Linked DNA regions of Oryzias latipes. The protein of the gene in region 1 purifies or fractionates together with the protein of each later gene. This does not show direct contact. Links are inferred from orthologs where the notes say so. Each region holds a gene or a part of one and is shown on either strand. Other genes may lie near its edges.

Region 1 (16,511 bases):
AAATTCACAACTATTTGATTTGAGTCAGAAATGCAATTTGAAGCTTAATTTTCTCTGCATATGTCCTCCATCATTAGAGGAGGTCACACTTTGCTTTCACAGTTCTGTTCATAATAATTGAAAGGAGAATGTAAAACTCTAGAGCTTTTCTGGGTTTAGGTTGCATGGAGGCATTAACAAATTAAGTTGAAAATAATCCCAATTTTATGACAAATCAATCAGGAAAAGACAATCCTAAATACAGTACATTGATGCTTCACATGTCTTCGTTTGTGTAACCAGGAGGAGATAGCAAGTACTGAAAAGGAGAGGAGCATACAAGGATTAGCTTACCCAAAGGAAAATTTGAACTCCAACATTATTATTTATATCAGGATGTAAAAAAGGTGCCCATCAATAATAGTGTGCATCCAGAGTAAAAGGCAATGGGTTTAATGGGGGCAGCCTGAAGTGCCATCAAGCATTAATATAAATCTCCTTATGAAGAGAAATAACTTTTTAAAGCACTTTTAAGATGTTTTTTTTTAAATAGAACTCCAGATGAAAGTCAGATTTGAACAAATTTGTTTCAATTTTGTTTATCAAATGCAGAAAAGGTCATTCTAATTTCCAATGTTTGCTGCATTGTCTATTTTTTTATTGAAACAAAAAGTAAGGTCTGGTTGAGTTTTGTTTTTTAAAACGTCCTATAGATGTTTTGAGGGTTGCAAGATGACACAAATTACACAAAAATCTATAAATCATTTAAAGTGATCTATGCATGTAACTTCTTTTTTTTTAAATCTTTCTTAACCTCCACTCAGGGAGTTCTCAGCAGCCCTCTCCATGAGATATGTGCACTATCGCAAAAATCTCTTACATGTTCAGTCATGCATCATTCTGAAGGTGCCATGAGGGAAGAATTAATGCCATCGAAGCTGTACTAAAGGGCATTTTTCAATTGGAATTGTTTGCAGTATACTGAAATGCAAACAACATGTACAGCAGAAGATCGATAAGTTATGTAACCTAAACCCTTTTTGTGTATGTGTGTTCTTGAATTTAATACATGCAAACAAAGTCCTAGAACTGATTCATTGGTCAGACTAAGGTCAGGAAAGCTTTGGCAGTAATAGACACCACAAACATACAAAGACATGAACTTTTTCATTCAAGCATCTTATCTTATCTCTCAGGCAGTGAGCAAATCCGTTGACGGGTAAACAGCCCCAAGCCCTGCTTCACTGTTTCAGCTGCTCCCTAACATGACGAGAAAAGGGCAGTAAGTGCGTTCCTTGGTAAAAAAAGAGCTTTTTTTTAGTTCAGATTACAATTCATCAATGTACACATTTAAGACTACTAACACCAACAGCTTTTGAATTCAAACAGCTCATAAGTGCTTAATTATGCTTTAGAGATGCGATGAAATAAAGTCTGACTAAAAAGAGAGACGCTGGAGCCCGCCTGCTCCTTTTGACTTTCATATCAAGTGTTTCCAGAAGCCGTTGCACTATTATGTCTCCATGGGTGCTTGCAAGCAATGAGAACTGCTAAATTTTCCTAATGACATCATTCGAGAGCATGTGGGTTTAAGAGGCCTGAAGAATGTCCGACAACATTCCCAAAAGAATTCCACAGTTCCCAAGTGAACCCAGGAGGCTGTGCAGGAGCTCTGGAGGCCTCTCTATTGGAAGAACCTGTTGTAAAAGATTACTCTCATTAGGGACAAAAAGAGATTTTTTAATAAAGTTTGAATGAAAAATATTTTCTGGTCTATATCGCAAAGGAGTCTGTGTCGGAACATTTTCCAATTATAAAATATGGGGTGAAACCTCCATGAATGTAATTACTTTTGATCACCTGATGCCCTCCCAGATCTCAGTGTCATCTTTGCTGTAATGCTGTAAAGAATGGGTATACCTATTGAGTTCACATGCTTTCAATACTGTTCTAATGACACACGATTGAGTGAGGCTGACAACACTGAGTGTGTCTTATTGCAAACTAAGGCAAATAGACTGACTCATTCCCAGTAAAGACAGTTATTAGACGCCATGCCACAAGTTTTTAATGCCATTTAAGCACCAGAGTCATCATCTTTTGAACGATAGCGCTAAATTCCCATGTGTAGGACTTTTTTGATCCTTGGTTCTGACATCACTGGGAGAAAATACTAATGAAAAATCAACAGAAATTGTGTTTTCATATGTTCTTTGTTAAACCGATGACTTTAAATACCTGCATAATTTTTAATAGAACACTTTTTCACCTTAACAAGGCATGAAAACAAAGTTTTCGTGTTTTCCACTAATCAAAATGCCCACAAAATGCTCCATTTTTGGCCAGAATAAAGTTTACTGATGATTTATGTGTCAAAACATTCCCTTTAACTGCTTTCACCAAGAACTGCACATGGGGAGAAAGCTGAAGTGTTAAACCTGTTGAAAAAGAAATGAGTGACTGGAAAGAATGACAAACAGTATGCTGTCCAGTATGAGAAAGTCAGAAACCTTTTGCTGCTGTTTCCAACAACAGTAAAAAGTAAAAAAAAAAAAAAAATAGGATTGCTGAGAAGTGCCGTAACATCCCTTTGGATGGAAAGAATTTCAATCTTGACTGAAGCAAATGACACAAACAAGTTTGAATGCTTTATGTCTTTATTGAGTTAAAAAACTCCTGTTCAAGTCATTTCCTCCTTTTAAACCAGGGAAGCCAAACGGGATACAGTGAAGTGAGAGACAAGAAAAGAAGGAGAAGCTCGATCCCAACATCGCAGGAATGCTCACTGTCCAGCCTGCTGCTCTCCCACTTGCCCGCCATGGTATGTGTAATTACTCCACAATTAAAGTGCCTTTGTTTGTCTTCTTGTGGACCTCGAGGTGTTTGATGACCAAACGTGTCAAAAGGTCAGACGTGAAGCTAGAAGTGGATTCACAAAAGGGTGGGTCACTGTGAAAAACCTTTATTAAAAGAAAATATTGTATTTCCCTTTGACTTGGTCAAGAAAAAGACCAGAATCCTGCGGATATTAAGAGTGCATAGTGCCTTTTTTGAATAGCTGCCAGGTATTACTGTATGTGACAAGTTTTGATTGAAACACTAGAAAAAATAAAATGTACAAGCTGATATAAGCAGACGGTTTGGTGTGCTGTATGCGGAAAAAAAAATTAACGTTTGCTCTACTTGCTTCTACACTACAGTGATGTGAAATAATACATACAGGTATAAAGAGATTTAATAAAAGTGCTCTACAAACTTTAACCACCCAATGGATTATGTAATTATAGAGCTTAGTGTTGCCAGAGTAGGTAAAAATGTTACATAAGTCTAACATTTTATCTCATAAACTTCCTGAGATTTTCCACAAATAGTTTCCTTTAAAGTATTCTGACTGAATTTTTCCTTATCGTTCCTAAAGTTGCTTGTTTCTTCTGTCTTTTCCCTCAAGCATTTTTTCTCCCTTCGGTCTGTGCATTGTTCCTCTCCCTAATCTGCCCACAACAATGCACGACGACTGTCACAGCGCTACCATCATACATAATCACTGAGCCTGCAAGGCACACACACATACAAATACACAAGAATACAAAAAATATCATCTGTATTAAGTATTCTGCTTTCACGGATCCTAGTACAAACTTGAAATGCAAGATTAAAAATTGAATCTTCCACCTCCCACAACCACCTTTTTCCAATATTTTGCACATTTCCAACATATTACACATTTCTATTTCTGCATCCAAGCAAAAGGTGTAGCTGCATTTGTATGTTAGCATATTTAAATGAACCTGTGGCACAATTATTTTTTTTACACATATTTGGGTTTCCCTTTTAAAGTACATGCCACTATGGGAAGATGCCACAGTCTGCAGTTTCTATAAGTGTTACTAGTAAGACAGAATTCGCTTTGAGAAACTGTTAAATCAAAAATCACAAGGAAAACGGCTAAATGGATTTTTCTCCATAATCATGGAATGGTGAACACTTTTTTTCATATAAATCCTGATTTTGGAAACGAAGTGTAGCTGAGTGTAGCTATTGATTGATATAAATGCACACACAACACACAAGAAGAGACTGTGAGTGTGTGCTTTTCTTTTCTGAGAATGTGTTCATTCAAACGTTTCATCAGCTGGAAATTGAATTGTCTTGAGATGAAATAATGTTTTTCAGTAACTTGGTTCCAGTTGGAGATGGAATGCAAAAAAGCAGCCAGAGCTGTAGCATGACAGGATTTGGTCAGCCTTATGAGGAGGATTTATAACTGTGCTGCTGGGCACGCCTGCCACTCTCTGATCTCAACTATGGCTCCTTCTAAGTCTTCAGAACTCTGTTCACTGGAGCTACAACCAAAACTAACGAGTTCCAGGAAGATTTAAAGGCTTTTTAATTTCAGAAGAACTTAAATCTAAGTGTATCTATCAGTTAACAGAAGCTTTGTATGTGATTAATTCAATTTAAAAAATCCTAAATTAAATTAAAAAAATAATAGTTACTATAATTTCACAATGAAATGTGTGTCAACAAAGAGTACATGGGTCATCTTGGTTTGAGCTTCTTTTCAGACAGCAGCAGGTTATTGAGTTTGATGACAACGTTGGCAAAGTCAGTGAGTTCCACAAAGTCAGAGGTGATGATGTTGACTCCATCCACCCCTGGCTTCTGACTTTCAATCCAGGACATGATGGTTGGCAGATTTCTGGAGCCACAAAAGAGGAAAGTTAGTTTTAGAAGTGTTACCAAACTATAAATCCACTACGCTGTGAGGGTAAACGAAGGAACCGAGAGAGGAAAAATAGTTCAAGGGAGTGTCTGTCACTGAGAGAACAACTTTTCCATAGCTGCCTTGTAAAGTTTTTGTCTGCACACTCACAAACACCCAGACACCAACACTGTGTCACTTCAACATTATCCATAATCCACTATGTCAACCGAGACCAGAACAAAAGCAGGAAGTTCAAATGTTTAGCCACGAGAGGTAAACAATCCCATTTCCTCCAAGGTGCAGAACTAGGTCACCTCCTGTCTCTCTGGAGTGTCTGTTTGGGCCTTTTCAAACTCAGCTCTGGCGTCTGCTTTTCTCTGAGCCGAAAATGCGGAAAGTGAATCTTTGGGTTGGGAGATGCGCTGGTTTTCTATTTAAATTTTAGGTTCCATAACTGGATTATCATAAAAGTGACTTCAAAGAATTATGAAAAGATCGACGACGTGTTACTTTTTTGTTAAATACACAAGATGTGTGGATTAGGATGTTTATCTAGTCCAAGTTTTTTGGTAAAAATATATTCCAAATGAGCTATTTGATAAACAATTATTAAATATTGTTTTAGTTAATAAAGTTTTGTCCTTTACGTTTCGAGTTTTATTGTGTCAGATAAATGATTAAAATGAACGTACAAGGTTTAATCTACCATTAGAGTGGTTTGTTATTTGAGTTTACTTAAAGCTTATACTGATTTTTTTAATTGGAATTCTATACCACTCTTATCATGTTTATATTTGATGGTAAAAGAATGACGGTGGATAGAAAAGCCATGTTTGATTTGACGTCAATCTCCTGCAGAAGGAGGATCTTATTTGGCACAAGGTGTATTTTATTTTGAAAGGAACTTGTATGTGATGCCGTCAAAGGTAAAAGAAGTTAAAATTGTTGTATAAAGAATATTATAGCACTTTTGTTTGTTAATATAAAATATAAAATGTTATTCTACATTTTATGAATGCATGGCCAAAAAAATATAAACGAATTGTATTTTTATATACGGTGAAGTGGGACTTTGTGCGTCTCGCTGGGTTTCGGTCGGTAGGAAACTGGACCAAATGGCTCTTTTAGCATTAGAGATTGCAGATCGTTGATCCAGATATTTACTGGTATACATTTTTTTTGTCTTATACGTGCTAACAGCAGCATTTACTACCCCCTACAGAGAGAAACTAACTTTTAAAACTTCCAAAACACTCAACAAACTAATATACAGATCACAAAATGCTCAAACTTGTCTGATTTTTTTTTATTTTGCTAACAATATCTTAAAAAATGACACATGGCTACACAGTACTTGCAACGGTGTGTTTTAGCAATTTTTTATGAAAAGGAAGAGCTTTTTTAAATTCCAAAAATTCACACTGACCTCTCCACCAGGTAACTGCGCAGTCCCCACACAAGACCCTTAGCCACAGTGTTGACTGTTGGTGTGAGGATAGCCTGGGTAACATGGAAGGACCCCTGTTTGGCTCTTTCCTTTAGTGTCATCTCAAGGAACTGCAGAGGAGAAAAGTAAAAGCTCTTGAAGGAAACACCGGGAAACTTAAGCCTTCTTGAAGTCATTCTAGATAACAGATAATTTCGATGGAAAAGCAGACATCTACATGGGTGGGGAAAACAAGCAACACTAACTTTTAGTTGGATCTGTCAAATGCAAAGAAGCACAGAAGACTTCGAGACGTTCTCGTACCTGTATAAGCTTGTTTGGCTCAGTGGTATTTGCCCAGGGAGCGGGAATTTTATTTCCAGGCCACATGACAGGGATACTCTGTGCTGACGGATGATGGTAGAATACAATCACCTGCAAGGGAAAAAAGGAAACAAATTACACTGAAAGCTGGAATTACTGTAAATAGCTTGTTCAGATGGCCAAACGGGTATTTTTAGGGTTGAATAATGTTTAGTAACTTGTGTTTTATTCTGCTCACAGTTACCAATGTTTAAAAACAAAAACAATTGATCTTTATTAGTGTGCATTAAATCTTAGGGTGCCTTTACATAGACTTTTTTGGTGTAAGAGTGAGAGGAAAGGCTGCCCTCTGCAGGCACTTTGTATAATCTCCTCCTCTTTGTCTTTATCCTGTCCTTCCTGTCCTGACTGCTGCACTTTCTCTGTCCCCTTTGCCAAGTAAGCCAGTCACAGATTAGGGTCAAGGGAAAAGGAAATTAGTGTCAGTTCTTATTGAGACCTAGCACACTATGTAACATTCAAATATCAGGGTGCAAACATAAAAGAAATGCATGGACAAAAATGTAAATGTGACATCAAAGAAGGGTTTAGTAAAGAAGGAAAGGTTAAAAGGTCGGAAAGGGAAAGGTGACAAGTGTTAATTGGATGATGCTCACTGCAAATTCTTCCCCAGAAAGACTTTAAGTGGCAGAGATTAGTTAATTCACTATTTTGTTGGGTCTAAGAACAAATGTGAGAGCTGGATTGCGACAGCTTAATCTCAGTCAACCAAATTCATAATCTTTTTGGTTTCTTTTGCAAACCCCCAAAAAACTATTTTAGTTAGTTTTCATTGTGAAAATTCATATTTTTATTGATTTTAGTTCAGTTTATTTCACTGGTTATTAGAAATTGGTTTTAAATAGAAATTTGAGAAAAAATGAATTAAATCTATTTAAATCCTAAACTTATCTAGACATTAGATGCAGGTTATGAAACTACATTACTCTCATAGGCACAATAAAATTTAACTAGCAACAAAGTTTGTAGCTGCTTAAAGACAAAACAACTTTATTTTTAAGTGTAATATATATATATCATATGTGTGTGTGTGTGTGTGCGTATGTTTACAATTGTGGGGAAGCAAACCTTGGCTGAACATTTGCACCTGTAAATGTTCAGTGCAGACCTCACCTGGTATTTCTTCTCCCACATGTAGTCCAGAGTGATGCTTTCCACAGCACAGTTTTTGCACAGCTTGCTGCCAAACACTTGTTGCAGCATGCTAATGAGATGGACGTGATGCTCTGCCTCCATTGCATAGTAATGATTAAAATCCAAAAACACCACCTGAGTCAGGAGTGGACTGTTAGCACAAAAGCAATTGAGCAGCAAAGCTTTTTATGTTGCCTACAAACAATAATCACCTCTTTCCTGTGTCTGGTTAGGAAGGTGTTAATTTCTAACAGGCCATCCCTCACCTTTGGAAGCAGACAGGAGAAAAGCTGGAGGTCAGCTGACATAAAAACTGAGCTGAAATGTCAAGATCAAAGTGTGTCTTTTTTTTTTACAACCTTGAAATTACAGGTGAAAGCAGTTTAGTGCAAAATCCTGTCATTATCACATCAGTATTTTTCTAAAAAGCATTTCCAGCTTGCAGTCGTTCTCATGGCCAAGTCCTTGGAAAAGAGTCAAATAAGAAACAGGCAGGTTGGAATTCCAGAGGACCCATTTCAGAGAAGGGGTGACCTCACTCTGATCCCTGTAGCGTGAGTCATCTCTGGAAGCACAGATGTCAGGTTCTCTATTCACCTTGTGTCCAAAGAGGCCGTGGATAAAATAGATCTCGTTGCCCAGTTCTCCTGGTTTAGAGGAAACTCTGAGATCAAAGTAACGGATTCCTGCATCGAGCTGCTCCCTGAATGTCAGATTCTAAGAACAGAAATGAGACGATCCTTAAATTCATGGAGACCATACACAAGTGACCAAATCTATAGTCTGATTATTTGGGGCATCTACCTGTGTCATTGACCACTTTACCATAACCTTCTTTGCCAAGACGCTGAACATAGTGGCCAGATACTTCACATAGGCCTTCTGATCTGGAGCCACAGGCGCGTGCACATCTACCCAGAACGTGAAGGAGTCATGAGATCCTGAAAGGAAGAGGAGGAGGAGGAGAGAGTGAGAGATCTGACCTAAAGGACACGTTGTTCTCACGACACTCAAAAGATTAAACTGGAAACACAATGAATCTGTTAGTCCCTTTATTTATAATCCACTGATCGATATTAGTTGGGCATAGATGTATAATTTGACTTTATTTAAAGTGTTTCCGGTTTGGCTGCTCACCTGGCACCGCGAGGCATTTGAGGGGCATGGCACTAAGTCTGGATGGCAGAGAACCCATCCAGTCGGCATTGACGTTGCCGATTCCTGCAGGTCTGGTCCTCATCTCTGCAGCATCAGGAGCCCGCTTCCTGGCCCGGATGCACGCCCGGTAACCAAATCCCGTAAAACAAGCGATCACGATCCATTTTCATCATGGAAGGTTCCAGTTTGTTTATTCTCTACAAACCAGAGCAGCAACGAGCGCCATCACCGGTGTGCAACCGGCGCGCAGGTTGGGCCGCAACTGCGCAGCGTTGACAAGGCCAAAGAGAAAGAGGAGTTAACGACCGCGGTAAGCCTCTTATGGTCAATTCCCACTTGTTACACCCTTCTCTCCCGCCCCCTTCTTCTGCTCCTGGACTTAACCTGCTCCGCGGGAAACCTACAACCTTTCCCAGGAAAAGCGGACACTTTTTTTTAACCTCCTCAAGGTGAGAAACCTGGAAGATTTAGTCGATTTTTGTTTAGTCAGCATGTTCCATAGTTCCAGCTTGGCAGGATGGATGCGCATAAAGCAGTAATCAGCTCAAATGGATCATCTTATCAGTGAGGGGATGCACAGCAACACCCATGATGAGGCCCAAACGGGTTAATTTGTCAAAGCACGATGCGATGAATTTATTCAGTTAGATAAGTAAATAAATAAACATGCCAGGAGGCTTTGAACTTGGATTCACCAAATATATCCCGTTAAGTGTGGCGCATATAAACTTAGATGGCTTTTTACTGCCTTAGTTTTAGCAGTTTGTAAAAACAACGACTTTTATTCCACTGTTTAATAAAATGTGGTAAAACAAATGCGGTAGACTAAATATTTTTTCTTCTTTTACGTGAATGTAATAGATTAAGACAAAGTGTTGAACAAATATAAACTAAGGGCAAGACTTACAGTGTTTGATTGTATGACCACGTGGCGCCATCTAATGGTTGAAGTTGCTAATTGCTACTGCTTAAACGAGCATATTGAATAATTGCATTTTCTAGAATATTTTAAAAGCTTTAAGAAAAAAAAGAATAGTATGTATCTAGTACTAGCACATAAACTTGGTTTAATGTCGTTTCACATGGAAACAGACTCAAAACAACAAATAAAAATAGATCCTATAGCTGGGATTTTACGTGATGCATTTTTATGTATTTCTTTTATTATTGGTCTGCACATTATCATGTTTCGGGAAAACGTTAAAACCAGCGTTACAAACATGAACAGATTCGGATTTCGATTTACGCGGAGTTTAAGTTTAAGACCCATGATGCTTTGCGGCTGCGTGGGAGAGACTTACGCCTCGAGTCCGACGGCCAAAACAGGCGTCTCTTTGCTGTGTGCGTTTCCATGGAGAATTGGAGCGCACACGCCGTGGTCTTATCGTGAGAGCTGAGCCCCTACTGTGTCCGAGTTTCTCTTTATCAGCAGCTATCACCTGTGGCAGACAACGGCTGAGGGAGGGAGCGACACCTCTAGCTGGTGAGTTTGACAGGGACTATAAGATAAAGGGGGGACACCCCCGCCTCGTTACTGTAGAAAGATCAACGCCACAAGCCTGACATGAACGTTATCTATCTATGAGTAATTAATATCATTATATTACTATAATCACTATTATTTTTCTTACCTAAATTCTAATTCTACGAACATCATTTATGAATACTCCGTTCAAATTCCTTAATACAGTAAATAAAAGTTTTGCAATGTAAACAATTACGATTCAGTGATCCTATTTTGCTCCGGACAAAATAAAATGCCATGTTTGTATTTTTCCATTGTGCTTCATGTGTATTTTTAACCTTGATTAGTTCCCTAAGGTCATGTGGGTTGTGGATCTTAATTCCTTTTAAATCCGTCCCCAGCAGATTACAGACCCGTTCTTGAAGCAGCCCAGTGGATTTGCCTGGTTTTCTTTGATGTTTTAAATTCTATTTGTTTGTGCAAAATTAGTATGATTATTATCGTAACTAGTGTATTTTTAGTGTTATTTACTGTTTTAATAGAGCTCTGTGGTGACATTCACTTATTAAATTCAATTCTTTTCTCTTCTAATCAATTGAAACAACAGGTGACACGTTTTGACATTTTTTAAATTTTACTCTGTTATGTGAGCCATATCTAATATTTGTGTCAGAAAGGGATTCCAGTGTATAGTCAATAAAAATAAATCTTATTTCTTTTTTATTTGGCTGGATGCAGTTGCTTTTTATTGTTGTTTGAGACTTAAACAATTCAAATGTATAATCATTTTGTAATAATAACCATCTAGTAGTGCACTTACTTGGCCATCTCCCTGTCACTGCTTATTCTGTTGGTTTTTTTTTTTTTTTAACGTAAAAATCTATTCATGAGATCCAAAACAGCCTTTTTATCCGGATGTGATGCATCCATGGAAAATTATTAACTTTGTGTTTAAAGGTGCTCGGAAGCTACTTAATTAATGAGGAGGTCTGATTAGTCATATTTATAAAAGCTAAGGCTATTGCTGCTTTGGATTGCAAACAGTTACCATCCACAAATAACAGTTGTTTTTCATGATGCCTGAACAAAGCAGCTGATGGAGATTGTGTTTTGGACTGAGAGGTATTACAGCAGTCTGATTGGTGTGGCCCCGTGGCGTCAGGTAAATCCTCTTGACGAGCAGGGTGCCTGGGGAAGGTGCATGTTGGTGATGTAACATCCTATTTGCATCTCTGTTGGGCTTAATCTTCCTGAGGCTTGCCATGTCATCTCCCTTGGGTGCTCATGTCGGAGCCTCCTGCAAACACTAACGTGGCACGTACCTAATCCTCCTCAGTTGGTGAAGAGCAGGAAACAAACAGCCCAACCTTTCAGTTGTTGCATAGATGTTGAAGGCAGTATAGAGGAGGGGCTTCACTTTACAGAATTCTGCTTGTAACATTTAACCTTTTTTTAATTTTTTTTTAGTTCCATCGCTCCCTGACCTGCATGTCAAATGGATTTGCTAAAAAGTTGAGTTTTAAACTCAAGTTTCAGGAGCAAAAGAGCACGAGAAAGACGGATCTGATCAATGAAAAAACATTAGGCGGCTGTTGAAAGAGATGATGAATCGCTACACCACCCTGAAGCAGCTGGGTGATGGCACCTATGGGAGTGTGCTGATGGGGAGAAACAACGAATCTGGAGAATATGTGGCCATTAAGAGGTGGGTCTGATCATTTCTGTTATTAACAAATCATTTTTAAGGTTTTCTTAAAATCCTGAGACGTAAAATCCTGATAGAATAATGGAAATCATTCCACTTGACAGTGAGGATGTTGCTCTACAATGAGGTTAAACCATGAAAATTTTTGATCAACGAAACTTTGACAAAAAGGACGTTTATTTTTTATTTTAAACTTTTCGAATGATTTGTTGAATAAAACTAGCCATCTCTCATTTACAGTATTTAAACAAAACAACGGCAAAAAAAAAATCACTTTTGCTATTTTTGTGTAGCTCCTGTATTTTAAAAACTTTTCCCTCCAATCTAAACTGCCCTATAAAACCAGAAGACTATAGGACCAAGATAGTCTGACAAATTCAGTTTCCCTGTCAGCATAAGTAAGCAACCAAACCGGTTTGCGTTGCCTTGCTTCTGCGACACAGTCTCAAGCGTCAATAATAAATGAGAAAGCAGGGAGATGTGTCTTGTTGACCATTTGGTTACTGTGCAAGAAAATACGTGCGGTCTTGATAAAAGCCAGAGAAAGTGGAGGGGGGAGGGTGTTTCAGGTTGCTGGCATTGAGGAGGGAACTAGGAGAAATGGATATGTGCTATTCTAAAACGCTTACGTAATTCCAGAGGGATGGAGACACAATGTGGACTGGGGAAGAGAAGTGAACGCCAGCTGGTATTGTGTTCACAAACATGGCAACACATGTGCTGATCTACATGCCTTTTTAACTAAATGCTACAGTTTCTTTGACTTTTTGGTTTTCTTCTTCTTCTTTTTTTAACATAATTGGTTGAAATAGAAATTTGAACAGGTCCAAAAAACTCAATTATTAATTAAGTCAAACAAAGGAGTGCTGTTGAGAGAGTTCCCGTGTTATGATGTGTCTTGGATACAGTGATGGTTGTGTCACCATCTTCTTCAGTTGCATTCTTGCATTTTTCCAGAGTTGTTCTTTTTCCTTGTCTTTTTCCAGGATGAAGAAGAAATTTTATTCATGGGATGAGTGCATGAACCTAAGAGAAGTGAAGGTAAGAAGGGAAATCTTTACTCTTGAACAAGCAGCATTTTTTGTAAAGTATGTCAAATGGAAATTGTGATTTTATCCAAATCATAGACATTTCTTATGCTACGTTCACACCGGGCATGTGTTGTACAGTAAAGGATGCGCTAAACGTGGGTTCTTGGTGTTCACCCCTGATACTAGTGCATGTACCTACACATAGAAGAGGCTTGGTGCAAAATTTTGAAGCTGTTCAAACCTATTTATTAATTTCTCCCCCATGATCAATTTTCAAACCAGTGGAACTTCCATGAATTGAAAAGAATGCTACCCACACCTCACTTCCAAATCCGAGTCTCTGATTGGTCAAACTGGTTTAACTTTCAACGTATTTCAACACGTAGAGCCTGAAATTGGACGTAACCCTTGTGCTATCCTAGGCACTTTACCATTGGGAGTTGGGTCATCTAGACCCACTAGACCAGGGGTGTCAAACATCCGGCCCATGGGCCGTTTCCGGCCCGCCAGGTGGTTTAGCCCGGCCCACACATGAAGAGTAAAATTCATAAGGATGTTTAAAAAAGAAAGCAAGTTTCTAGTCAATTCCTGTGGCGAGTTATGATTTTTTAAAGAAATAACCGAAATGCGCAAATCCACCACTAGGGGGAGAAAAGAAAAAGCTTAACAGGTGAAACAACATAACTCTGTGAATTCCCTGTGAGCCTCAACACTGAAGGATGATCAGTAGTGACACCCTAATGACCAAAATTTTGTCAAAAAGAAAAAAAAGGTTGAAGTGAAGTCCTGAGCTTTCCAGGAAAATGGAAAGCGTTTTATTTGTTCACGGAGCTGAATGCAAACCTGCATGCTTGGTATGTCATCAACAGGTTTTCCAAGAATATAACATCCAGCACCACTATGAGACTCACCACAAAGAAAAGTTTCACCATTTGCGGTTAAGAAAAAAAAAGATTTAGCAACTATTAGCTGGACCGATAAATAACCATCTGGATTTACTGCAGCCGTGATGTCAGTGATGGAGCAGTGACACCTAGCTACCTTACAAGTTGGACCAAACATCCAATCCATTTTCTGATGGTGAACTTATTGAAAAAAGCTGAAGGCTGCAGAAGTCTTCCCAAAAAGCAGTCGACCTTAAACATGAGTCTGTCAAGAATTACCACTTTAGATCCAACATCTCTGAGGAAACATGGGCAGCCATATGAAGGAATCCAGTCATTTATTGTATTTTCAGTCACTATTGATGAAAGTACCAATATCACAGATGTATACAGCTGTGCATATTTATTAGAGGTGATGAAGAGACGTCACAGTGGAGTTTCCTGAATTGATGGACACAACAACAACTGATGACGTAGTCAGCTCTCTAGTTAGTGTGCTGGACGATGTTGAAGTGAACTGGTCACATGAAGTAATTTTGGTCACTGATGGCGCCCCATCAAAGGTCAGGAAGAAGGCAGGTGTTGCCACAAAATTCAGGCAGAAACCAGGAAAAGATTCTTATAATAATTAATGATAATAATAATGGACATTTCATTGTGTTTTGCACACTTGAATGACAGTAAATGTGTTTCTGCACAGGATTTCAATCCTGATATTGACGGTCTTGTGAAGTTTCAGGAGAGAAAGGAGGTTAACTCCAAACTCTTATGTTCACAAATTTTTGCAAGTTTAATTTAGTGTAATTTTGTCATCGTTTGGACGTTTACATTTTAGGAAGATGTTTCATTTTTTTCTGTAGCCCCTCTTGAATTTATTATCAGGATTGCTTCAGTGTCAGATTTAAAATATTCATTCTGTCTAAAATTCAATAAAGCAATATTTTTTAAAGTGAAATTAATTTTATTTAAGATCTATTGGCCTCTGTGAATGAATGTGTAATAAGAAATGATTAGGCTACCATGTTGGTTGAGGCATGTTTTCCAATTGGGTAAAAAAACAAGAATAAAGCTGTTATTTTGCCTTTACGCTAATGGTCCGGCCCACTTGAGATCAGACGGGTTGAATGTCGCCTCCGAACCAAAATGAGTTTGACACCCCTGCACTAGACAGTGCGCTGAACCTTTTTTCTTCAATGATTTGTGATCCTCACTGGTGTCCATGGATTACATGAAATCTTTCCACCTTGTCCACCTTTGTCATGGTAGGAATAACACGTCAAAGTAAGGGTGGGGTCATCTAAGATAGCACAAGGGTTAAAGACTTGTGTAGCGATGCATGAATGTTTGAATTTTGAACGCGGAAGTCCAAAACCCACGAGTTTAAATAGACTTTACATTGGTAGTAGTCGCTTGAACGCACGCTGACAACGCCTGTGTGAACGTAACATTACACTAAATCTGATGTCAATTAGATGCACTAAATACTGTTTTTTTTCTTTTAATCTTTTGTATCTTCCACAACATCACTACAGTCACTGAAGAAGCTGAACCATGCAAACGTGGTGAAACTAAAAGAGGTTATCAGAGAGAACGATCACCTCTACTTTGTCTTCGAGTACATGAAGGAGAACCTGTATCAGCTGATGAAGGACAGGTAGGAAAAGTATCTACAGGGCAAACATTTTGGTTGGGAAATTATTTGTCTACCAGAAGTAAAAAGCAGCTAAACACTAAAGTTGTAAGTTGAATCCAGGGATTTCCAGTATATTTATATTTATTCCAGTATTTGTGTCACCTCATCATGCAGTTCCTTCTCTCAATAAATTTTGTAAACAGCTGTTGCCTAGCTGCATCTGTGGAAAAATACTTTGACTTTAGATTAGATTCCCACAAGTGTGCAACGATTCAAAACACACCTGAGATTTGCTGTTAGAGATAACAACAGAGTTACACCAAGCACCCAGGGTGGTACAGCCTTTGGTTGTGTAATAGAGAGAAAATAATACTGTCTACTTAAAAAAGCATGTTGGTTTTATGTTTACAGAATAAAAAAGTTTCCAGAGTCAGTGATAAGAAATATAAGCTTTCAGATTTTACAAGGCCTGTCATTTATTCACAAACATGGTAGGTATGCCGCACCCTCCTCCTGTTTGCAAGCGTGTCACAGGGGTTCCATCCTGCAAGATTCTGAATTTTTATCATTTCAAAGTTCATGAATTTCTTCATACCATAGGGTGAGATTATATAAATGAACCCAACACAATATTAATCGAACCTTTCATCTAATTCTTGTAGTATGTGAACCCTCTGTGGCTGCTTTGCTGTGTGTTTTCTGCAACTGATTTAGGTTGTTCTGCATGATGAATGAGTGTGATGTAACCGTTGAATTAATAAATAACTTTAATGTGAAATTAAAATAACATTCACAGTGTATTCTGGGCTTCCCTTTTCCTGCAACTTTTTCTCTCTCAAAATTTCTCCTTTTTTCCTTCCCTCCTTTATGTCTCTGCTGTGCTGTTAGAGAAAATAAGATGTTCTCGGAAAATGAAATTAGGAACATCCTGTTTCAAGTGCTGTCTGGGTTGGCTTTTGTGCATAAGCATGGTAAGCATGGCATCTTTTTCTTTCTGTTGCTTCTTT
Region 2 (15,796 bases), on another chromosome or scaffold:
CAGTTTTCTTTGGTTTTCAGAATCTTAAAGCGCCTCAGAGTAAAAGGCCCCAAAGAGATCGAGTTGGAACGTCTTGAGCAAGGATTTTCAATATATCTTAACGGAGCCAATGCTGAATGTAACAAAAGGCAGCCCAAAAGCCCCCCAAAAAAGCCTGACTCCTCTCTGCATGCACATGCGGCTGGTATGCTGTGTTTAAAAAAATCAATTTCATATCAAACATCCTCTTTTTTTAACTTATGGATGACATTTTAAAGGCTTGTTAGCTACAATTGAATCAAGCTGCATAGTTCTGTCATATGAAACAAATTCAATGCAGCAATTAAAGACCACCTCTTCCTCAGCTTGTGGTTTGCATGCTCTGCTTCTGTGCTCAGTCATTGTGAGTAAATGGAAGTGACAATTATAGCTTGCAGCAATTATTTATTTGCCTGCTTTTTTTTGTCATTTTGCATGTGCTGTGCACCATCTGCATGTGTCTTTCTCCCCTGAGGCAGCAGTCTGCTGTATGCTGCTCATGCTCCTTTCTGTGCTCTGACTCATCTGCAGATGTGTGTAGAAGCGCCCACCAGCTAGCCGGAGCTAGCCGCTTTCCAGATCAGACAAACGGTAAGAGGAGCCAAACCGCCCCAGAAAAGGTTCAGAGGAAAGAATGGGTGCAGGTACAGCCCTCTAATATTACATTCTATGATTTAACAAAGAAAAAAAAAACCAATATGTTTTTTATTTACATAATCTCCCCTTTCCTGTCTTAAGAATTCAGTTGAAATACAAACAGAGGATGGCCCAACTTTGAAATTAACCCCAGAGACGCGCTACTCTGATGATTTTGATCCCTATGAAAGTGTAGACATGGAGGTAGGGTGACGATTTCCACTAAGACGGCGTGTGTGGGTGTTTTAGGGAAGGCATTGTGTGTAAGATGTAGCTGTCTCAACCACTCAGCATCTCTCTATCTTCTCTTGTTTTTCCCATTTTTTTTTTTCTTCTGACGACTGTGATTCTGCACAGAGCTCTAGTCCTCTCTCAAGTCCTCGCTCCCCTCATAGTCCCTGCTGCCAGAGGGACCCCTGCAAGGTTTCACGCTCCAAGCCCGAGAGCCAGGGAGGCCAAGCAAGCCAGGAGCATGCTGAGAAGGTGCTCCTGAACCTTGAGGAAGTGAAGGTAAACGGAATATTACACACAAATATGTGGGGAATTTTCTTATCACATAGGAAATGTAGATATAAGTCATCACAAATTATAACATTGTCAATGTCTGCATATTTGCGTGACTGATGACTCCAGGAATTGAAGCGTTTTTGCCTGTCTGAACTAGGTTTTGCGTCGGAACCTGGAGGTTAGCATGCGACGGAGCAGCAGCGTTTCAGCGGGGGAGGAGTCAGATGAGGAGTGGGTAGAGGAGCAGATTGAGAGAGAGGACAGCACAGAGAGTCTGGATGAGCTTGGGCTCCCCCTTTCCTCCTCCAAGTCCTCCTCTAACTCGGAACCAAGCCGGACTCAGAATCACTTTGACTCAACGAATCTCATCGTTTTGGATTTTGGACCTTCCCCAAAAGGTCCGGCTGGAAACCTGTTTCTTTATTTGCTCTTTTAATAGCAGCTTTTGAACTCAAGTTTAAATTGAATCTTTGATTGAATGGCCTCTGTTTGTAATTACAGGTCATAAAATTGAACATTCTCTTTCTGCAAAAAGGAAAGAAAGCGTTGACACCTTTATACCAGTCAAACCTGTGTTGGTGAAGAGCAAAACTTTAGATAGGCCACCTTCACAAGATGGCTGGGACGGTCAGAGTAAGTTGTACATTTGACTTTTTTTTTTAAATCTAAAGAAAGTTTTCTTTGAACCAGTTTAATGTATTGCCATAAAGAAATAGCTTTTAAAAAATCTGTCTCTCGTTGAGGGCCAAGAAGTCAATTGGAGAGATCCCTGTCAGCCACTAGAAAGGCTTCAGTTGAAGAGCGAGACTCAGAGGAAACGCGGTACATGGTGTGCCAGGCAATACAGAAAGAAAACGCTTCAATCCAGAACGCTGAGCTCTTCAGTCACGGCATGGTCTGTTTGACCCCCCTATATTTAATTTGCCTTTCCTAAAGATTGTACATTTACTGTGACACCATGATGCCGTTCTTCTGTATCCAGTTTTACTCTGTGTTTGCTTTTGTTTTCAGTTTGGGCTTGATTTTAAGCGTCTATGTGCTAACCTCTTTTGCTGTCTATTTGTTACCGTTTCATCCAGACTCGGGGACACCAGATGATGGATGGCTTGAAGCCCGACATCAAACACGACAAAGATGAAAACAATGTCACAGTGGCAATGCAACGCATAACGCTCATGGCTCCCAGGTAAGACAGCAGTTCAGTAAAAATGTTGTAGGTGTCAACTCAGTTACTTTAAATAATGATTGTTGCTGCTCCAGGGCTCAGCCATCACCCAGCTGACAAAACTAACAAGCTCACAGTGTCAAACATTTTGTTTAGGCAACAACAGACGCTGTTAAAAGCCCTGGAGAAGCTCGAAGCCGGACCTAGCCACAATATTTCTCACAATGTTAGAACAGATCACAGCAAGCAGACTGTGAGTCAGCAACACGTCTCGCAGATCAGAGTGAATAATCCTGATGATGCCTCGTTACACCAACTGTGGTTTGGTGTTGCAGAGAGGGCAGTCGCCAGCAGAGGTCACCCCTGCGTTGTACGTTACCATGGAGATCCTGTCAAACTGGGGAAACTTGCTCCAGGTGGGGCTGACCGAGGTGCAGTTTTTCTGCCGCAGAAACAAGAAGATCTACGTTTCCCCTCATGACCTAGATGTCAGGAATGCCGACTTCCCAGGGAACCTGGGTGCCCTCGTCAACGGAAAAATGAAGGTGGACATTGTTCCGCATAAAATTAAATAGTTGCTCATTCTACAAGCTTGCTAGTTACACTGGTTCTCCCCAAATTGGGGTTAAATCTCTGCTTACTTCCTGTTAAAAATAGGAGGATGATGATGATAGGATGATTGAACAAACTTATGCTTTTCAACCTGACTACAAATACATTGCTTGTTAACAGTACCTTACTCCTTTCTTATTGTCGTTTTTGGACAGACCACTAAAGAGCGCTACATGTGGACGTGCCCTTTCCACCCTCCAATCCAGCTTTATTTCATCATCAGAAACATGGAGCGCTCTCTGGATTTTGGAATATCTTGTATCAAAATCTGGAATTACAACAGAAGCCTCAAAGTATGTGCTTTGTAACCAGTTTGGGGGTTTACTCTGAATTATTTTCTAAATCTAATGTCAAATGAATATTTATGGTGTCTTTATCGAGTGCGAGTTTTGTTTTCAGCAGGCTCCACTAGCTTTCGTGTGGTTGTTGTTGTTGGGGTGACTGACGGTTACGTGAGAGAAGTGCCCGTCTTCAAGCTGTGGTTGGCTGAGCCGACAGTCACTCCATCCAAATGTGGAACACTGAGAGATTAGCCAGAGGATTAGTGCGGATTGGGCTTCTGTCTTTGAGCAGTTTCTGCTCATAAAGGGGGTACAAAACCTTCATTATAATATTTTGTAGCTTCACTAATGTCCCCTCTAGTTATACCTGTTTGTGATTTAATATCATCGAGGTCTTAAGCTTGTGAGGTAAGTAAATTCAGACAGGGCAGATTTATTTTGTAATAGCACCACTTATTGCTAGCCTAGTACGTTTGATAGGATATGTAGTAATAATAAAGGGTTCTTGAAATGCCTTACAGTTTTCTATCAATACTGAAACTTTCAAGTTTTCCTCTTTATGTTTTAGGCTTTGTGGAGATGATTTGCTTCATTTTGACCTGTTTCTAATACATTTGTAGGTGTTAAGCATTTCTTTAAGTTCAAAACGCAGATCAGTCAAGGTTGTGTATGTTTCAGGACCTCGACATAGGAGCACGCCATGTAAAGCTTTACCTGAACAGCACCCTGGTGTTTGAAGGTGAGCTGGAGAAGGGCTGCGGCAGTCAAGTCTTTGACTACAGCACCACAATCAACCTTCAAGATTCCCAGATCCCAGAGTCGTCCTTCTCCACCCCTGTGTGTTCTGGGCACAATTTGAGAGGAGCAACTCCCCATCACTATGACGACAAGAAGGGGGCAGAGAGCGGCAGAATGCAGCGATACAGAAGTTCAGTAGCATCGTCAGATGCACCAAGCCAAATTTTGGTAGACATGCAAGAAAAAGCCCACACCCCTCTGCTGCCCCTCATCCCATCAGCCACTTCTTCTTGGCGTTCCTCCACACAGAAGAACTCTTTTGACCTTGCTTCATTGGAAGAGTCTCATTGTCTTAGGCAGCAGGTAGAGCAGCTGCTTCCTCTTGACCAGACGGTCACCACTCAGCCATCCTCCTCAAGGGTTGCCTCCCAGTGGCTGCAGCCTCTAAGCAGAGGTGCCCCAGAGGGCTCTGAAACCAGCAGGGAGAAGCCTCTGTGGCTGGTACCTCAGCACTCTGGCGAATCCAAACCACCAGCAGCCTCATCGTCTTCAATGCTACCAGAGCTGCCTTGTAACCCGGGCCGAGTGTGCCGGGGAGTAGACAGGACAGCAAACGGGGGTCAGAAAAAGACTGGTTCTTTGGACTTGAGTGCGAACCTGCTGGAGGAGTTTTTGGAGCCAAAGGCAGAAAGACCCGTCAGTGGACGCAGAAGCTCCTTCAGAAGTCCTTCAGTAGTTGGAGTGCAGGCAGAAGAGCAGCATCAGAGGGCTGCTGCCGGGACAAACACAGGTGTGTGGGGTTTTCTCCTTCCATTTGCATTTTTTCTGTTTTTCTCATAAATACCAACTAACCTAGCTGCTCACAAAGTAAAACACTCTTAAATACATTTTTAAAATAATGAATTTTAAATAAACCTTTATTGGTCTAAAGTTTAGAATTATTCATCAAGCCTTTTCAGCTTTACTTTATTAATCTTGTATTTTGACGTGAATTACAGACTTTTCGGACTGTGGATTAGGACCGTTTGACAGACTTAATGCAGTTGTTTATTTTTAGTATTTTTGTTTGTTTTATGTTCATAAGCAAATGCTCTGGTTGAGCATAAACAGAAATAAACACTTTAGGGTTTGCATTTAGTTTGATTTGTGTCTATATCGCAGAGTCTGGTATTTATGCCTTAGAAGATCCGATGTCTCTGGTGAACCCGGACAGGAGACAGAGCAGCTCCCGGGCCCAGCTGCACAGCCATCAGGATGACACCCTCAGGGAGTCCTGGGATTCTCTCATAAAGTTTAACCAGTGTCAGCGAGGACGAATCTCCAACATGAGCTTTGAAGGTGACATCCTCGATGAATTCCTTCAGTATAAGAGACTGGATACCCCCACAGTCCAGAATAACCTTTCTACAGCTCCCAGAAGCCCGCTGACTTCCCTGACCTCTCAGGGTCTAACATCTGAAGTGTCTGAAGATGATCCATCTGTGGAGCGAGAAGACGAATTTGAGATCCCTGTGCTCCCACAAGGACAAAAGTTGGTTATAAACATTCTGTCCACATGGGGAGATCGCCATTATGTAGGTCTCAATGGCATTGAAGTGTTTAGCTCTTCTGGGAAGCCCCTTCGCCCTGTACATATCCACGCTAACCCCCCAGACATCAACATTCTGCCCGCGTACGGCAAGGATCCACGGGTGGTCACCAACTTAATCGACGGTGTTAATCGCACCCAGGACGACATGCACCTTTGGTTAGCGCCCTTTACCCCTGGTCGCAATCACAGCATCTTCATGGACTTTGGAGGCGTGTGTCAGATTGCTATGATTCGTATCTGGAACTACAACAAGTCCCGCATTCACTCATTCCGCGGTGTGAGAGAAGTGGAGATGCTGCTAGATGGAAGATGCATCTTCAGAGAAGAAATCGCCAAGGCATCCGGAACGCTCTGCGGAGGTATCTGAGCAGAAGGCTTCATAAAATGTACACTTGTGTCACTTTAGTGCAACCTTCCCTCATTCTGGTGTCACTTTAGAATTGGATCAGTTTGGAGACACCATCCTGTTCACCACTGATGATGAGATCTTGGAAGCCATGTCTCGTTATGATGAAACCTTCCTCGGTGAATTTGAGGGTCATCAGAGTTTGGCATCTGAGGAGGAGCTGCAGAGGCCGCGCACCGCTGATGGCGAAGGAGAAGAGAGGCCGTTCACACAGGCTGGCTTCAGAGAGGAAGACCTCTGTGTAAGAAGAGTTCACCAATGACTTGATTTTATAACTTGGAAACAAATAATTTTTGTATATTTAAAGATTCATGAAAGCTAAAGGATTTCAACATGGACAAAGAATTGCACATTTGAACATTTAAAAAAAGAAGAAAACACTAATATTAGAAGCTTAATTATGTGAACTTTTGTTCTTTTAGTTAAAACATCCACTGAAGTTACCCTTAAGCAATTATGAGGAGAACGTGGAGCATATTCCTGGGATGTACACTGGAAAGTGTGAGTCAACTGATCTTTCTCTTAAAGACCCACTCTGAAGAAAATTACGGTATGTTTTTGGTGTTTTTGATGACTGAGGAGACTTATAAAGAAAATTCAGCTTAAAATGCATTTCTGAGGGTTTCTTTATCTGGATTGTTGTGAATCAAAAACAGACAAAAAAAAATTCTGGTTTGAAAAAAAGCTTATTTGTGACAGAAAATACGCTGGGCAGGCCACAAGATCCCTGCTCTGAGATCTCAGCAACAGGAAGGGAGGGCGGGGTTCTTCAGTGCCAGCAGTCCCACCCATAATTCAATGGCGAATTTCTGAATAAATCTTGTGGCTCTGCAGAAACTATATCCTAGAAAACAACCGTTTTTTTAACAATTTTATTTTGGTTAAAATGGAATAATCATAAAAGACCACTGTGAACGCTTTGAACTGTTTTGCATCACTGTTTTTGTTGTCAATAAAATGTGTTTCTTTTGTCCTTTTAGGCCTTAGAGTAGAGTTGGTGATGACATGGGGAGACTCCCATTATGTGGGCCTCACAGGCCTGGAAATAGTGGGGAAAAGTGGTGACAGTTTACCTTTAGATCTTGGCATGATGGCTGCCTCCCCGAGGGACCTCAACGACCTAGAGGAGTATGAAAATGACCTGCGAACCCTTGATAAGTATGTCTGACCGAGTCCAAATGTACAGTACTGAAGGGACTAGTCTTTAAAAACCCGTTTTGTTCTTCAGGCTAATTGACGGCCACAACGTCACCACAGACGACGAGCACATGTGGCTGATTCCTTTCTCCTATGGAGAGCCCCACATTTTGAGCATCACCTTCACCAAACCCCAGGTTATAGCTGGCCTCCGGATCTGGAACTACAACAAGTCTCCTGAGGATTCATACAGAGGGGTAAGCTATCACTCAAATGTCCAAATTCAAACACAAGCTTGGTTAGCACGCATAGTTCTTCTGTTTTAGAGGGAATAAACGAATGCAGCTCTTTGTCATCAAGTAAGTGTAAAAATCTCTGTGTTCAGGTGAAAGTCGTCCATTTGTTTTTGGACGATGTTGCGATCTCTCCCGTGGAAGGATTCCTCATCAGGAAAGGACCCGGCAACTGTCACTTTGATTTTGCCCAGGAGATCCTCTTTATCAACTTCCTTCAGACGCCAACAGATAATAAGAAGAACAAAGAATCTCACAGGTATGAGGTAGAAGATCCACACAAACCTCTCTTTTAAACCAAACCGGAGAAGATTTTATTAAATATGTTTAATGTTTATACTTTAGAGTAAGTTCCAAGAAGCAGGAACTGGCCAGCATGGATTATGAAGCTCCCATCATGCCTTGTGGATGTATCCTTTTTTACACTAATTTAGCATTTTGGTTTAGATAGTTTTACTTTCATACCATCTACTTTCTATTCAGCTTCTATTTCTGTAAAAATAGAAATGGAAAAAAACCATAAAGGTATTCTGATATACCTTATAACCAGCAAAGGCAAGGCTAGATTTAGTTTTCCTCTTCAAAATTTAGAAAGGTTGTCACAGAGGTTAGCAAACTTAAACCTAAACAACTAAAGTTTGATCAAATACTGGCACATAAGTTTTAAGGAAGGAAAAGTTTTCTAAAGAAGAAGACATTTGATGTGAAGAAAATTACTTACATCTACAGTTTTATACAAAGAAGTTGTTTTACTTTTTCTTTCTTTTTTTTGTTCATTTTTCCTCATTGACTGAGTTTGTCTATTCGTGTTTAGTTGTTTCAGTTATACCGTAATTTCCGGACCATAGAGCGCACCTAATTATATGCCGCACCCATTACATTGTTAAAGGATAAACCATTTTGTACATACTTGAGCCGCACCTGTCTATAAGCCCCATGTGCCCACATTGAAACATGTGTTGTAGAGTGAGGATGTGTATGTGCTGAAACCGCGCGTGTGTGTAAGAAAGAGGAGGGAGCACATGCAGCGCAAGGATGGTGGATTTTTTCACACTGCTTTTAACTTTAAAGCTGCGTCATATGCATTTCTTCTTGCATTTTCCATAATAAGGGTCTGTCCGTGCTATTCATTCACAGAGCAGGAATTTACATTAAACTTGTGTCTTCCTCGACACATATACCGCAATCCCCCTGTCTCACTCTTACCCTTTCTGATCGAGCGCCCCTAGTGGTCATTAGAAAAAATGCATTAAAAAAAAAAGAAAGAAAGAAAAAAAATGCATAAATTAGCCGCATCATTGAATAAGCCGCAGGGTTGAAAGCGTGTGACAAAAGTAGCGGCTTATCATCTGGAAATTACGGTAATTAACTCTTTCTGGGTCAAGTGATCTCTTTATGCTAGACGAGTGAGTTTGGAACAGTTCTTAGAACTTAAAAACATAAGAAAATAGACCTTTTTTTCTAGACTTTTCAATAGAGTTATCTTAACATCCACCACTTTTGCAGCACTTAGAGAAAATGCTGCAAAATGCTGCAAAAAGAAGAAAGAGGTTTGATTTTTTTCTTTCTGTTCATTCTTTAACATCACCTATCAGTCATATTTCAGCTGCAGCTTTTAACCACCTGGGGAGATCCCTACTACATTGGTCTGAACGGCCTGGAGTTTTATGACCAGAACCACGAGAAGATCAACCTCTCTGAAAACAGTATCCTTTTGTTGGAGCCATTTAGACTTATGGTTACACCTCTTGCATTTGTGATGTGCCACTCAAACTCTGCGTGGTCACAGGATTCTTTCAAACCGGCTGTCAGTTGGGGCTTATGCCAGCATTTTGGAATTATTCATGGTTCATTGTTCTCCATCGCTCCTCAACATTTTGTCCACCAGACATCGCAGCATTTCCAGACAGTGTGAATGTGTTGGACAACATCAGCGGTGATGTAAGGACTCCTGAAAAATTAATAGATGGAGTCAACAACACACACGACGGCAGACATATGTGGTTAGCGCCCGTGTTGCCAGGATTGGTGAGCAAGAAGATTTATTTTTTATTTTTTTATCCTGGTTTGCATTTACGCAGAGTTTTAACATGTTTGTGATGCAGGTGAACCGTGTCTACATTATCTTCGATCAGCCCGTAACCGTTTCCATGATCAAGCTGTGGAACTATTCAAAGACACCTCAGAGAGGAGTTAAAGAGTTTGGGGTAAGCTTTTTGGTGACATTTGAAATTCTTTGTTTGCATTTGGATTTCAAACCCCATGACCGTCTGTGCATAGCTACTAGTGGACGACCTCTTGGTCTATAATGGCATCTTGGAATGCGTAAGCCCCCGAGCACAGGGAATCCTGCCCACCTGTGATCCAGTGGTCCCGTACCACACCATCTTATTCACAGACGATACTTACATCGCTCATCGCGAGAGAAACACGGTCATCAGGTACGCCAGCTTTTTCCCTCACCAATTACCTCTTTTTTTCAGATCTGCTTAAAACTAGCCCATATGAAAAAGAAAGTGTAAAAAAGAGCTGTCAAGCTCCAATAATTCAGTAGTTTTGAACAACTATTCTTCACTTCAGCCTTCGTGGCAGCAGACACCACCGACAGTGAGTAACAGAGCTCAGAAAGTTCCATGTTAGCACCTCCCTGTGGTCAATCCCTGTAAAGATCCCACGTCCTCAGATTCCCCCTACAGTTCCACTCCCTCCTTTCCACGTGTCCGATTTGTGCTCGTTCCTCTTCTCCCCCGTGTATTTTATTTTAGAGCTTCAAGTGTCTATATCTATGTTGTGCAGGGAAAAACAACAAAAACATTGACCTGAAAATGCCCGCCATGTTCTTGTTCTTGCTGCGCAGTAATCACGTGGAGGACCAGGACGTGAAGATGACCAACGAGAATCAGATTGTTCATCACAGCAAGAAAAAGCAAACGGCAGATCCAGGTGATTTAGCAGAACGACTGCTTTTGTATACAACTGTATAAAACTCTGGTTTTACATGTCAACATCAAAACCTGTGTGGTCTTCTTCGCCTCAGCTCTCCGGCCTAAAACCTGCATGACCGATGGTGGAAAACATGGAAAGAGGAGGTACTAACTGACGAGTCAACACAGAAAAAGGCAGAATTACTTTAAAAAGCGGGGCCTTTGGCAGTGAAACAACCAGCAGCCACCTTACCAGGTCTCATAATGGCAACATAAGTGGACGGAGCATGGACACTCACAGGGACTCCACTTTATTTTTGGATTTCTTCTATCTTTTGCTTTCAAAAGACTCACAGGTTTTACCCTGACCACGTACTGTATCATACCTGTTATCCCCTTCCCACAGTGCCAGGAGAACACAAGATGCTGTGTTTTACCAGCCCTTTAATTGTGCCTAAACTCAACACTACATGTGGCTGCTTTGTGTGAATCTTATTCTGCTACACTAATGCTGCTTCTGACATAATGCTCAAAGATCTGATAAATATATTCACGTCAGGATGTTGGTAATTGTGTTTTGTATCCACCTAAGAGCTGAGCGCATCCTCATATATTCTAAATAATAAAAAGCCAGATGTAAAGCTATGCAGCCACCCATTTCTATCCATAAATGATTTCAAAATCGAGATGTTGGAAACTTACATTTATACAAATAATTATGATAAATAATAGGTACATCATTTAGTGCGTTCAACTTATAAGAAAAACTAAAGTTATGCAAACATTTGTCCGATTGAGACCATAGTTGACCAAAAAAATTAGAAAAATTAGAAATTACACATTTTTTCTAAGTAAAAAAGTACTGCAATCCTTTATCAAAGATGCGGTTTTGTGGATTTTTGGAGGCAAACATAGATGCAGAGCTTTACAATGATTTAAAAAAAAAAGTATATGAAATGGATAGCAAGCAGCATCTGTTATGCAAATACTGTTCGATTACCTCAAGATGAAAAGTATGCCGTTTAAAAGGGAAATATATATTCCACTTAGTGCTTAGATCGTATTGTACCTTTCTTTAGTCAATATTTAAAGACGTTGCATGGAAGTGTCCTCAATAATAGTTCAGTTTGAAGAAGTTTGTACTGTTTGTTAAACCCCAGTACCAACGACTTTTGCACTCTGTACTCCTGAGAGTAACTGTACATGAAATGCAGTTGTATGTATTTAATTTCAGAACAGCAGCGATGCCCATTACTGTGTATGTCAGTTCTGCTGTTTGGAACAGTTGATTTTGATTTGAATATTTATTTTTCTAATCTTATAAGTGTATTTGATGTTAGTTTATTGAAATGAATAAACTTTGAAAATTATTTATCTTCTTTATTCTTGAAAAAAACATTTATTTGATGTAGCTGATCAAGGTATAAGTATATATATATATATATAAAGTATCTTACCAGATTGGGACTAATGTGTGATAAAGGAGAGGAAAATACCCAACACTTTCAAATATGTATCCTGAGTTTTTAATGTCGAATCGACCGTACATTTCTCTGTTTTTATAAGAAATGAACATTCAGTACTAGTGTGCTCCTGAGGCACAGCAGGACAAACATTTAGCTGAAGAGGTTTGACCAGGGCAGCTTTAGATTTTTCCTGGAAATGTCCCCTCCTCTCGCTGGTCGTCCCATTTCTGGACCTACAGGGACAAAGTTTTTAGAGATGGTCAATGCTTCTGGATAATACAAAGTGAGAATAAACCAAAAAAAAGCTCTGATTTTTACACAATATTCCATGTTCCTGATCTGAAATGACAATCCACACTGACAGATTGTGTGGCCGAGTCCATTCTATTAAATGTGCTTCCTTTGGTATTAGAAAAAAAGGATAAGCTCTACTAATGTTTACATCATTTTTAAAGATTTGTTCTGCAGTGAGAACTTAAGGAGGTTAAACTCCACCACAGTAAATAAGGAAATCTGAAGTCTGTTTCTCTCCATTCCTGGATTCTATTAAAACTTTCAGGAATGGAAGGAATGACAACTTGTTCCCATGCTAAATAAAATGATTGTTTTATATTTAGCAGAGGCTTTTTATATTCTGCTTCTTGTATGCTTGAGCTCGTTTGTTACGGTTTTTTTCCACTAGGACTTGTAAAAACGCTGGGAATTATGGGGTATATTTACCCAGGACATGGGGCACAGAGATTTGTAGACCCTCTTGTACCATTCACAGGGGGCTGTGTCTATTCCTTTGGCGTCCAGGGCTTTCTGACAGCGGTAGTAATCTATCAACAGAACCCATTTATTTAAATCAATCAAATATGCAGAAACATAATCTTGACAGGTTATGTTTTCACATCCTAACAGGTCAGTATATCTGTTTTTAGAATATATACATGATGCAATCATACCCACGTAGTTGGACCAGCAGTTCCTGGTCTGGTTCTGGTTGGGAAATCTAGCGTCAAAGGGAGCAGTGCGGTATTTCTCCAGCTTGTCTTGGATGTCTTCAGCCATTTTTATTCTGTCGAGAAATTAGGAAGAAAAAAAAATGTTAGTTTTTTTCCTTATCAGATAAATTCCTGCATTATCTTGTAACCTTGACAGGAGAATATAGACTAAACGGTGGTTTCAAATTCAGATCCGGATGAGGTTTCTAAAAAAAAAAATAAAGTGAGCATCCGAAGCTCCATTCATTCATGTTTAGCCATCGCAACATCCTATTAATGCGGCAGCAGTCCTAACATTTCAAAACTTTTATTGGCCTACATTAACAACATTAAACAGAAAAAATGTATATGTTATGACCTTGGCAGTCTCTGACTGAGAGACTTTCGGGCCACACGGTCCTTTCTTTTTGACAGTCGCTTCCTTTTCCTTCAATAGAATAATTCAACCGGAGCTGTAGGCTACAGTCTTTAGATTCGGGTTGTTAATGTCTGACCTAACCCACAGATCACGACTCATTTCATTTAGAAAGGTTCGGTTTGTTCAGCTGAAGGCATGCAGGTAAACGTTACCTTTGAGCGGCTAGCTCGATCAGAAAGTGACTTTATACCGGAAGGTTAGATCGGTGACGTTCCTCCGAGAAACAATGCGCGATGATGCACGCGCGCGCTCCGGTGGGGATGTGCCACAGCTGCGACCGTGCAATTCTCTGATGTCGGTATGGCGGACTCAGGTCACATTGAAATGATGATCCCATAAAAACTCAGACCATATTAATCCAAAGTAATATTCAGTGTAACACCTTCATATGACTAGATTATAATATTTTGTTAAAGTAAACATTTAGTTTTGTTCCGACCACATCAGTTTGCTCTTATAAACAAACGCGGAAGTATTTTAATGTTTCGTTTCTGGCGTCAATCATTTACCGGTATTTGCTTTTTGTCTGTCAGGTGAAAATGTTGAGCTGTGGGCGTTTATCGATCGATTCTTTATTTCAATGTCTCCAAAAATAATTGGGGGAAAAATGTCATTTTAATGATTTATTGTAAAGTCGTGGAGTTAACTTTTTTAATTGAATGCACTTCTGAAATAGTGACGTAGTTCCATTCGTTTTCATTCGTATCAGATTTCATCAGAACATAATTTTCTATCTCAAAGGGGAGATTGTGATGGTTTTTTTTTCTGTTTTTACCTATTTTTTTGAAGTTGTTGCAGCTTTTCAAGCACGTGCGCGTTTAACGCGCCCGTCATACGTCACAAACTGCGTTGGTCCACGCCCCTCGCGCTCTGCACTCCAAGAGTTTTTTTATAATGTTTATTAATACATAAAACTCTCTTTTTTCAAGGTTTGCACAAATGTCCAACATTTAGGAAAGTCGACACGTTTCAGGGAGAAACATTAAACTAAAAGTCACCGCCATGTGAGACGTGACTCCAATGGGTTCCAGCCGCAAACTGCACTAACGTTTCGTACACCAGGGGGCGCCAAAACACTCGTTTTTCAACCCAGACTGGAATGGATCGTTCATGTCCAGGAGAGGAACAGTGAACGCATTTAAAAAAGGATGCTGAAGTTAAGAAGATGACAGGGGTTTATAGAGCAGGGTTGAATGGAGGTTGACCATTTGCTGTGGCAAACCCTAAAGTAGGTATCTGAAAGGAAAATAAGTACTAGATCCACATTTTACTACTCCATCATGCAACCCACCTAATTCAAATGGCTCTCATTGTTAGTTTTATGTGGAGCTTGATTGATTTTCCAAATCTGGAGCACTGAAATAGGGAAGTAAGTGCAACTTAAAAAATATATTTGCATTAGAACCCGCACTGGGAAGTATCTTAGACTGTCCCTTTGGGGACATTTATTTTTCCCTTAATGTCCTCCTCCAGATTATCTTTTAATTGATTTAACTGTACCTTTAATTATTGCACATGTGTAACACAACAAGCGACTTGATTAACAAAAAAGGGGTTGTGAGCATCAAAATAAAATTTGTGAAAATTTAAAAAATATAAGAGTCTTACTGGTATGGAGAGAAAATATTCTCATCAGATTTGTGTGTGCGTAATTCATGATTTGTAACTCATATAATAAATGTGTGTGTCTATGTACTTGCAAGAATTACTTTTTTACATGTCCAAAAAATACAATATAAATAAGCACGCACACCTTAAAATTATAACAGTTTAAAACGAACTACACACACAAATGTTTAAAAAAACGCACGAATCACCTGACACACAAAACTGCATTTATGCATCAATTTGAGTTTGAGACTCTTTACGTCTCCAAGATTCGTGTGGAAGTGATGCGTTTAAATGTTGCTAGAACACACAAACATGCAGAATCAAGTTACAAATCAAGAATTATGCGCACAAATCAGACGAGACTTTTGTATTTTCCTATTTGACTCAAAAAGGTTTACTATCCAACAACAAAAAAAGAGAGAATACATGAGATTAAACTTAAAATAAATTTTTTATTTGGAAAATCAGGTGAAATGTCAGTTTTACTTAAGGCAGATTTCACAGGATCAATAGATTTGAAGAAACAAAAATAAACATTTTTACTCATTTTTTCATACTCAAGTATGAAAAATGACCCCCCCCCCTCCAAAAAAACAGCTTAATATAACAGATAATATAAACTATTGTGATGCAAACTGCTTTTTCTCTGTCAAAACTGAAATGAGATTTTCAGGGAATGAGAATTACTTTAAAAAAACAAATGCTGAAATTAAGTAGTTTAGAATTGAAAAAGAAGGTAAAAATATTTTTTTGGGTGGAAAGTTTTAAGTTTAAACAAGAAACAAGGTTTTGAAGAGCCTTGAATGAAGACTAAAAAGTCATAATTCAGTTTCTCTAACTTAAATGGTTTTAACCCGGCAAGTTTTTGCACATGGGACCTTTAGGGGAAAAAAACAGCCATTACTCCGTAAGTATTGCCCTGCAATATGGCTTTATACAGCCTTCTGTATGAAATCTCTTTTAAGAAGGCTGACTTTCTAAATCCATCACATTCACTTTAGCACTTG

The links.
Region 2: the proteins of mak (region 1) and kiaa0556 purify together in Homo sapiens (affinity purification with mass spectrometry; 3 studies listed by BioGRID and IntAct, with this or other methods). This does not show direct contact. The link is inferred for Oryzias latipes from reciprocal best matches to the Homo sapiens genes MAK and KATNIP.

Annotation. Positions count from the first base shown.
Region 1 is NC_019878.2:13,140,960-13,157,470, reverse strand, and holds the start of mak (serine/threonine-protein kinase MAK), read left to right. Parts: upstream 1-9,002; 5' UTR 9,003-9,096; intron 9,097-9,125; exon of another isoform or gene 9,126-9,235; intron 9,236-9,249; exon of another isoform or gene 9,250-10,269; intron 10,270-11,718; 5' UTR 11,719-11,852; coding exon 11,853-11,956; intron 11,957-12,942; coding exon 12,943-12,997; intron 12,998-15,403; coding exon 15,404-15,525; intron 15,526-15,915; coding exon of another isoform or gene 15,916-15,995; intron 15,996-16,392; coding exon 16,393-16,475; intron 16,476-16,511. Other genes in the region: PI-PLC X domain-containing protein 2, read right to left, coding at 4,519-4,678, 6,111-6,241, 6,435-6,545, 7,608-7,763, 7,841-7,894, 8,226-8,345, 8,433-8,569, 8,766-8,868. UniProt on the Homo sapiens protein: Essential for the regulation of ciliary length and required for the long-term survival of photoreceptors. Phosphorylates FZR1 in a cell cycle-dependent manner. Plays a role in the transcriptional coactivation of AR.
Region 2 is NC_019877.2:9,503,060-9,518,855, reverse strand, and holds the end of kiaa0556 (protein KIAA0556 homolog), read left to right. Parts: intron 1-20; coding exon 21-184; intron 185-549; coding exon 550-662; intron 663-756; coding exon 757-858; intron 859-1,011; coding exon 1,012-1,164; intron 1,165-1,318; coding exon 1,319-1,559; intron 1,560-1,662; coding exon 1,663-1,794; intron 1,795-1,904; coding exon 1,905-2,056; intron 2,057-2,240; coding exon 2,241-2,347; intron 2,348-2,482; coding exon 2,483-2,579; intron 2,580-2,661; coding exon 2,662-2,871; intron 2,872-3,093; coding exon 3,094-3,231; intron 3,232-3,897; coding exon 3,898-4,747; intron 4,748-5,118; coding exon 5,119-5,907; intron 5,908-5,986; coding exon 5,987-6,195; intron 6,196-6,376; coding exon 6,377-6,455; intron 6,456-6,934; coding exon 6,935-7,112; intron 7,113-7,182; coding exon 7,183-7,348; intron 7,349-7,476; coding exon 7,477-7,643; intron 7,644-7,729; coding exon 7,730-7,794; intron 7,795-8,979; coding exon 8,980-9,090; and 14 more. Other genes in the region: cytochrome c oxidase subunit 6B1, read right to left, coding at 11,954-12,007, 12,495-12,595, 12,722-12,827. UniProt on the Homo sapiens protein: May influence the stability of microtubules (MT), possibly through interaction with the MT-severing katanin complex.